Bombyx mori: one gene and its partner. The protein of the gene in region 1 binds, or shares a complex with, the protein of each later gene. Links are inferred from orthologs where the notes say so. Each region holds a gene or a part of one and is shown on either strand. Other genes may lie near its edges.

Region 1 (3,271 bases):
AAGGCCAAACAATGTCTGTTTGTGGCTTAGATTTGAGCACACCATGTTTTTCACACGGACAATTATACGTTGTATGCTCTCGAGTGGGTAAATCATCAAGTTTGTTTGTATTAGCTAAAGACGGGCTAACAAAAAATATTGTTCACGCTGCAGTATTAAGAGATTAATATTATGTAATAAATTAATTATATATATATATAATTATTACTTTTAATAAATTAAAACAATTAATGTTCGGTGTTTTGTTATTTTTAAACAACATTCCCTCATCGTTCACAGCGCTCCAGGCCTTTTTCACTCATATTGCACATCCTTATACACTTCCAATAAGTTAGTAATTTTTTTTCTACACTAGAAATTCTCTAGAAATCTTATATATGGCAAGACAACGTTTGCCGGGTCAGCTAGTATTAGTATATAATAATGAACACGGAATCTTAAAGGAAATTACTAAATTCTGATTCCTTATGTTTATTTTTAATTAAAAAAGCTTACCTATATAAACTACTAGGTTTACTACTAACGTCTTAAGTGATTGTTTCTAGAATCATCTGTAGATGCGTTGTTCAGCAATAACTTTGTATACTTGCCGACACGTAAGTTGGCAAGGTTTTGGCTTAGTGAGGGTTAGGTCGCGCATAGTGCACTTAATTCAACAAAAAACTGTCACACGCAAGTGTAATCGGGAGCGAACGGAACGTAGACGCGGTGCGGGAGTGGAGGGTCGTCTGACTCACCAATCGCGCGCTCGGAACGGTACTACGACATTCCCCGCGTCCCGCTTGACAACCAAAGAGATCTAAAAAACGACTTGTATGCATCTAACTACTCTTCCCAAGTTACGTGCCGGGGACTGTATACGCGGCCTGAATTATCGTATTGTTCGATAGTGAATCAGTATCGTATCGTGACTTTGTATTCGCGGCCTGAATTATCGTATTGTTCGACAGTGAATCAGTATCGTATCGTGACTTTGTATTCGCGGCCTGAATTATCGTATTGTTCGATAGTGAATCGGTATCGTGGTTGGCGTGAGTGTACGCACGTGAGTGTTGAGCGCCACGGAGGCGCGGCCGGCGAGCTGCGCGTGGCGGTGCCGGTAGTTGAGTGTGTCGGCGAGCGCGGCCTGGCGGCGCGCGTCCAGCAGCGCGGCGTGCGGGCCCGCCCCCGCCACGCTCGCCGCCAGCAGCCGGTGCACCACCACGTCCGCGTACCTGCACACCGCGCCCGGACAGAATACTTAACCATACACATTTTTATCAACTTATGCGGCCCACAAACGACCCTAAAATCAGTGGCGATATTGGGACAGCGATGGTGGGGATAATCGTCCCTAAATCTTGAGCTCGCCCGAAGCGACATTAGAGTTTAGGGTAAACAATACAAATCGAATTACAATTTGCCTATACCTCCTCGCGTGGTTTTCCTGAGGGTCCTGAGGTTTCCTGATTACTGAGGGTCGTGATTCCCCCGCTGCATCAATTTCTCCCGTACGATTTTCCTCTATCTGCCGCGATCCTTAGCTTCATGAAGGGCGCATTGTAGAAGTTGATGTTTAGAGAAGATCATATTTGGTCCGACCATCTCGTGGGACTGCGTCCTCTGGGACGTTTGCCATCTACCTTTCCTGTCACCATCTGCTATTCTAGATTGTGACCCTCTTTACGAGCAATATGTCCGAAGAAATCCAACACCGTACGAAAGCATATAGTGGAAAGTCTACTTTTGATATGAAGCTCTCTCAGAATAGACATGTTGGTGCGAAAGGCGAATGTGCGTATGCCACACGAGGTGATTTAGGGTACGATTTAGGGTCCTCCCCACCACGGTTGAAGTTGTCGTTGCCATGTAGGTCACCGGTGCCCTAAGCGGTGCACTGAAGTAATAATGTCGATTTCTGTCACTAAAGCACCTGAATTACCTAACTTAGCTTTTATTTGTCTCTTAATTTACGTTTTAGTCTTATATGTCTGTTAGAAATCGATACATTCTCAGTATTGTTCGGGTTCGTCTTTCTCAGGTTCTATTAGATATTCCGGCGCCTTAATAAGAAAATCGAAGAGAGAAATCGACATTTTACTGGTGGCAGGACCTCTTGTGAGTCCGCGCGGGTAGGTCCCTATTTCTGCCGTGAAGCAGCAATGCGTTTCGGTTTGAAGGGTGGGCCAGCCGCTATAACTATACTTGAGGCCTTAGAACTTATATCTCAAGGTGGGTGGCGCATTGACGCCGTAACACTAGGTGGGCTGTGAGCTCGTCCGCTCATGAAAGCAATAAAAAAAAACTTCAGTGCGCCGCGTAGGGCACCGGTGACCTACACGGCAGTCTACGTGTTAAAGGCAAGAGCCGCTACGTACCTCCGTATGGGCGAGGTGAAGTGCGTGTAGATGGGACAGGCCAGTCCGTAGTGGTAGTAGTGGTCGGCGGCGAGGCTCCCGCTCACGAAGTACGCGGCCTGCTGCATGCAGCGCGTCGCCATTATGCGCAGCAGCGTGTTGAAGAACGGCCGCTCCGGTATCACGGCCTCGTTCAGCGATTTCGAAAACGATTTGTTCGTTGACACGTCGATTTCGAAGCCCTGAAAAGTTTGCAGTTTTTAATTAAGCCGCGTTCAAACTACGCTATAATAAATAAAAAACTAAAAAATAGAATATAAATTTCAATAAATTTGAATTAAAAATAGTGCAAAAAAAAATGATTTTATTGTAAAAAAAAAGCGTGAAGTGCTTTTTAGGATATTATCAAAATAACCCTTCTACTAATATCTGTTCATAAAATATTTATAACTACTGATACCATGCACCCCACGCTTTTTTACAATAAAACTCATTTTTTCTTACATTATTTTTAATTCAAATTTATTAAAGTTTATTTTCCTATTTTTTAGTGGGATTTTCTATAAAAGCGTATTTTGTTAATATAGTTTTTTTAAACTATTATTTATTTTTCAGTTTTTAGTTGAATTTAAAAATTTTCAATTTTTTTTTATTTTGTATTGTCATCGGCCCTTAATAGTATATCAAATTTCAAGTTAATCCGACGTTTTGAAGGGGATCAAAATCATGTTCAAAGATTCCGTTACAAACATACATACGTCTGAAGCTAATAAAAAGCGTATTAAAAAGCATATAGTATATATGTAGTTCATAGCAGAACAATATCGCACACCATATATTGTTATGGACAAGTAAAGGCTGCTGTACTATATGGTACTATAAGTATAGCGTAGTCTGAAAGCAGCTATAGTCGTACAGCGTTTTGTGGTGGGTAC
Region 2 (4,438 bases), on another chromosome or scaffold:
GTGAAAGGCCATTTCGTTTAAGCGACATTTTTGTTACTTTACAGGAGAGCCATTTAAAGTTTAAAATTTGAAAAAAATATCGCAACAACAAAAACTTCTTCAGCTATTTGAATGCGGTAAACTTAACTGAAGTTCAATTAAAAACATTGGATTGGTGATACTAATACTAAATAAAACCGACCTTTAATTAGAAAGATAAATATCGCATAGTAAACGAAATGTCGTATAACCCAAATAGCATATAATCCGTCGATAAGGATTTAAAAAAAAAAAATTATATGTTTTACCTGTAATACTTCTATGTATATATCTATTTGCGACCTTGGATACATTTCAGTTTTAATAGCAGCAGTTAGAGCTTGTCGGAGATGCATTGACATTTCTTGTGACTTGCGGTCCCCGCGAGGTCGGTTCTTTCGTTCACCTAGATGCGAAATGTTCGATAATAAGTCGTTTAGAAGTCGTCGTGGCCTAACGGATAAGACGTCCGGTGCATTCGTGTTGAAGCGATGCACCGGTGTTCGAATCCCGCAGGCGGGTACCAATTTTTCTAATGAAATACGTAATCAACAAATGTTCACGATTGACTTCCACGGTGAAGGAATAACATCGTGTAATAAAAAAAACCCGCAAAATTATAATTTGCGTAATTACTGGTGGTAGGACCTCTTGTGAGTCCGCACGGGTAGGTACCACCGCCCCGCCTATTTCTGCCGTGAAGCAGTAATGCGTTTCGGTTTGAAGGGTGGTGCAGCCGTTGTGACTATACTGAGACCTTAAAACTGTATCTCAAGGTGTGTGGCGCATTTACGTTGTAGATGTCTATGGGCTCCAGTAACCACTTAACATCAGGTGGGCTGTGAGCTCGTCCACACATCTAAGCAATAAAAAAAAAAAAAATAATAAGTTATGTAGCCTAATAGGCATATATATATAATAACCCTTATAAGTTGTGTAGATAAGAATATTCATATCTTTGGGTCTATCTTAGTTTCTTTTTGTACTGACGAGGGAATATCCTAGTTTTAACTTTTAAATGGGTAGAATACATAGACATCGCAGTGTGTATAATGCCACCGATTTTGAGAGACAGTCAAAATCTCAAATGTATTATGAAACTGCAAAGCATGATTGCTTCATTGTAAACATATAACAGTACCTACTTCTGCAGGCTTATCACATACATAATTGTATTGTTTTCAAATGTATAACATTTATAATATAACTGCCTATCTGCCAGCTATATGCTTACCTAAATTACATATTATATTATGTGAGTGGAGAATTTTTTTTATTCTCTTGTAGGCAGACGAGCATACGGCCTACTTGATGGTGAGTGGGTAACCACACAGTAATGTCGCCCATTGACTTCAGCAATGTCAGGGGCAGAGCTATTGCCTGCCGCTGACTGTGCTTAACACTAGGATAAAATGCATCCTATTTAATTTCCCATAGTAGAGTTTCTTTCATTTTCATGTTATTATTTGCTGTATATTTTCTAACATATAATGGCACTAAGTAAATTCCATAAAACTTTAAATGATGAAAACTTTTTGCATCTTTTGATTAAAATAAAACAAAACCTTTATTCTGTTACAAACAAATTTTTGTCCACCATAAAAAAAACTACACGTACGTAGTAAACGTATCTGGTTCAGTAGGTCTGATGATGTGCAGGAACAAATAAATGTACACACTGAAATTAATTCTAAGATTGATTGGAAATCCACGGATGTTATTAACTTGTGTATTTTTAATGTGCGATTAAGCTCATACAGATTTTTTTCTCTATATATAATCTCATTTATTTGAAGAGGCTTTTGAAAATATGTTGAACTCTCAATGGGTACCTGTTGAGAATGTAGCCATACTGTATTGGCAGTTGACAACTACAGCTTCTGTCGACATCTTCGATTTTGAAGCCTGAAAAACATTTTAAATTATAATGAAGGTTTTTCATTTATGAAGAACGTGTCCGAAAATGAAGTACCTAAAATGTGTAAATACATATTTTTTACCAGCTACTTGGTAAGAATTTGGTTACTAAAGCTGAAACACATCAAGACGTGAATGCGACCTTGGCACATGGGTCGATACTTCAATATTGTAAAATAGCTGTCTTATTCTTCAAGCCAGAAGGCATTACACTTTTGTAGCAGAAATAGTGCAATTTTGTAGCAGAAGTAGCGGGATAGTGATGATTATTTACTCAGGCAGATTTACAGACGTTTTGCCACGGTAAACTAATCAGTATTTGTAAATCGTTTGTATCATATACCTGATGGGGTCCATACACGGCTGCAAGCACTTTCGTGTTTCCTTGTTCGAGATACGCACTTCCATCAGGCTGGGTGAATACACCAAGTTTACATCTTATCCGACGTAATTCATTGGGTCTCCGCCCGTCAAGACGTAGTCCTTGACTCGAGAGTAGATCGGCAGCGGGCATTATTTAACTTCTAACAAAAACACATTAAAAAATAATGAATTGTTCAATATGTTGAATTGTTTTGTTAAAAATATTTGCTTTTTACTATGTTATATTATCATAGTCGATTCCGTTTTTAAAATTCGCGGTGATTCTAATAATTCATGAGATTGGTTATGGACGTTATGGTTATTAAAGAATAAAGACTAATAAATATATTATTTTCGTTCAATTATTTTTTAAACTTTATTTTGTAGGTTATGTTATCGTGTTTTTTTTCAGGGTAGTGTGACCTGGTAACTAAGACCTTTAAGTCATTTCTTATTTTAATTTATATTATTATTTTTATGCAAAATGATAATATGGAGTGAGATGAAATGAAATGAAACGAAGATGATTAATTTGAGACATTAATCAACTGAGATGAAATTAAATGAAATGAGATGATATGGGATGAAATATAATCTCAGTAAAATGGTGGTTATTTACTAAGATTTTTCCAATTTAATGAGCAACGTGTCAGGCAACTTGTCAGTGATGTTGAGTTGGGTGACCGCCGTCCTTCGCAGTTTTTACGTTATCTTAGATCATTGGCAGGAAAAACCCTCACTGATGAAAATTTGCTTCGCCAGCTATGGATGCGTCGCCTCCCACAACATCTCCAAGCAATTTTGGCCGCCCAATCAGAACTCTCGCTGGACAAAGTCGCTGAGCTAGCGGACAAAATTTTGGAAGTTTCGCCTGGTATGGTCGCACCTCATTCATCTGCTGTTTTCTCAGCAAGTACGTCTGCCGTCTCAACCCCTTCGTTAGAAGATATCACACGGCGTCTGGATGAGGTCACGCGTCAGCTTGCTGTGCTTACTGCAGAGCGCGGTAGAAATAGGACCCGGGATTTCTCAAACCAGCGACGACGCTCACAAACGCCTGGTAAGCTTCAAATGTGCTTTTACCATAGGAAATTTAATACTAAAGCTGTTAAGTGTATTCAACCATGTACCTGGACGCCGCCGCCATCTTCGGAAAACGACAAAAGCAGTCAATGATGGCGACGTCTGACTGCTTAAAGGAGAGTCGCCGATTATTTGTCACCGAAAGCGCAACCAAGCGCCGTTTTTTAATAGACACAGGCTCCGACCTCTCCTGTTACCCATACCAGTGGTTAGCAAATAAGCCGGTACGTTCAAACTATACGTTAGCGGCTGCCAATGGTAGTGAGATACGCACTTTTGGTCACATAGAAATGGCGCTTAATTTGGGGTTACGCCGCACATTTCAATGGCGATTTATTATCGCTGACGTCAACACCGCCATCATCGGCTCCGATTTTCTGGCGCATTATCGGTTGTTGCCAGATTGTGCCAGTAAGAGACTCGTCGATAGCATTACCGGGTTGTCATACGTTGCTGCCGTCGCTGTTTTAGACCAGACCAGCGTCAAAGTTGTCTGCGCGCCGTCATCCCAATTTAGTGCACTTCTTGCGGAATTTCCGTCCATTACGAAGCCACCAGGACTTATTCGTGAGCCGAAGCATAACACAGTTCATTATATTCTAACCACTGAGGGCGCCCCAGTCTCTTGTCGTCCTAGACGTCTGGCACCTCAAAAACTTCAAGAGGCCAAAAAGGTTTTTGATGATATGGTACAGTGCGGGACAGCCAGACCTTCGAAAAGTTCGTGGTCTTCTCCACTTCATATGGTCCCTAAGCGCGACGGCACCTGGCGACCCTGCGGCGATTATCGTGCGTTGAATTCACGTACCATACCTGACAGGTACCCAGTTCGCCATATCGGTGACGTTGGCCATAACATATCTGGGTGTTGTATATTTAGTACCATCGACCTCGTTAAGGCATATCAGCAAATTCCTGTTGCGCCTGAGGATATCTGTAAAACCGCCATCATAACACTCTTCGGACTCTACGAATTTAATTACATGACTTTTGGTCTGCGCAACGCAGGCCAAACGTTTCAAAGATTTATAGACGAAGTTGTCCAAGGTCTCGATTT

What was found.
Region 2: exosome complex exonuclease RRP44 (region 1) and exosome complex component RRP41 share a complex: the UniProt entries of both Caenorhabditis elegans proteins name them as parts of the RNA exosome complex. The link is inferred for Bombyx mori from reciprocal best matches to the Caenorhabditis elegans genes dis-3 and exos-4.1.

The regions. Positions count from the first base shown.
Region 1 is NC_085115.1:11,139,641-11,142,911, reverse strand, and holds part of exosome complex exonuclease RRP44, read right to left. Parts: intron 2,579-3,271; coding exon 2,358-2,578; intron 1,215-2,357; coding exon 1,046-1,214; intron 1-1,045. UniProt on the Caenorhabditis elegans protein: Putative catalytic component of the RNA exosome complex which has 3'->5' exoribonuclease activity and participates in a multitude of cellular RNA processing and degradation events. Has both 3'-5' exonuclease and endonuclease activities.
Region 2 is NC_085134.1:3,235,534-3,239,971, forward strand, and holds the start of exosome complex component RRP41, read right to left. Parts: upstream 2,870-4,438; 5' UTR 2,450-2,869; coding exon 2,279-2,449; intron 1,924-2,278; coding exon 1,851-1,923; intron 425-1,850; coding exon 288-424; intron 1-287. UniProt on the Caenorhabditis elegans protein: Non-catalytic component of the RNA exosome complex which has 3'->5' exoribonuclease activity and participates in a multitude of cellular RNA processing and degradation events.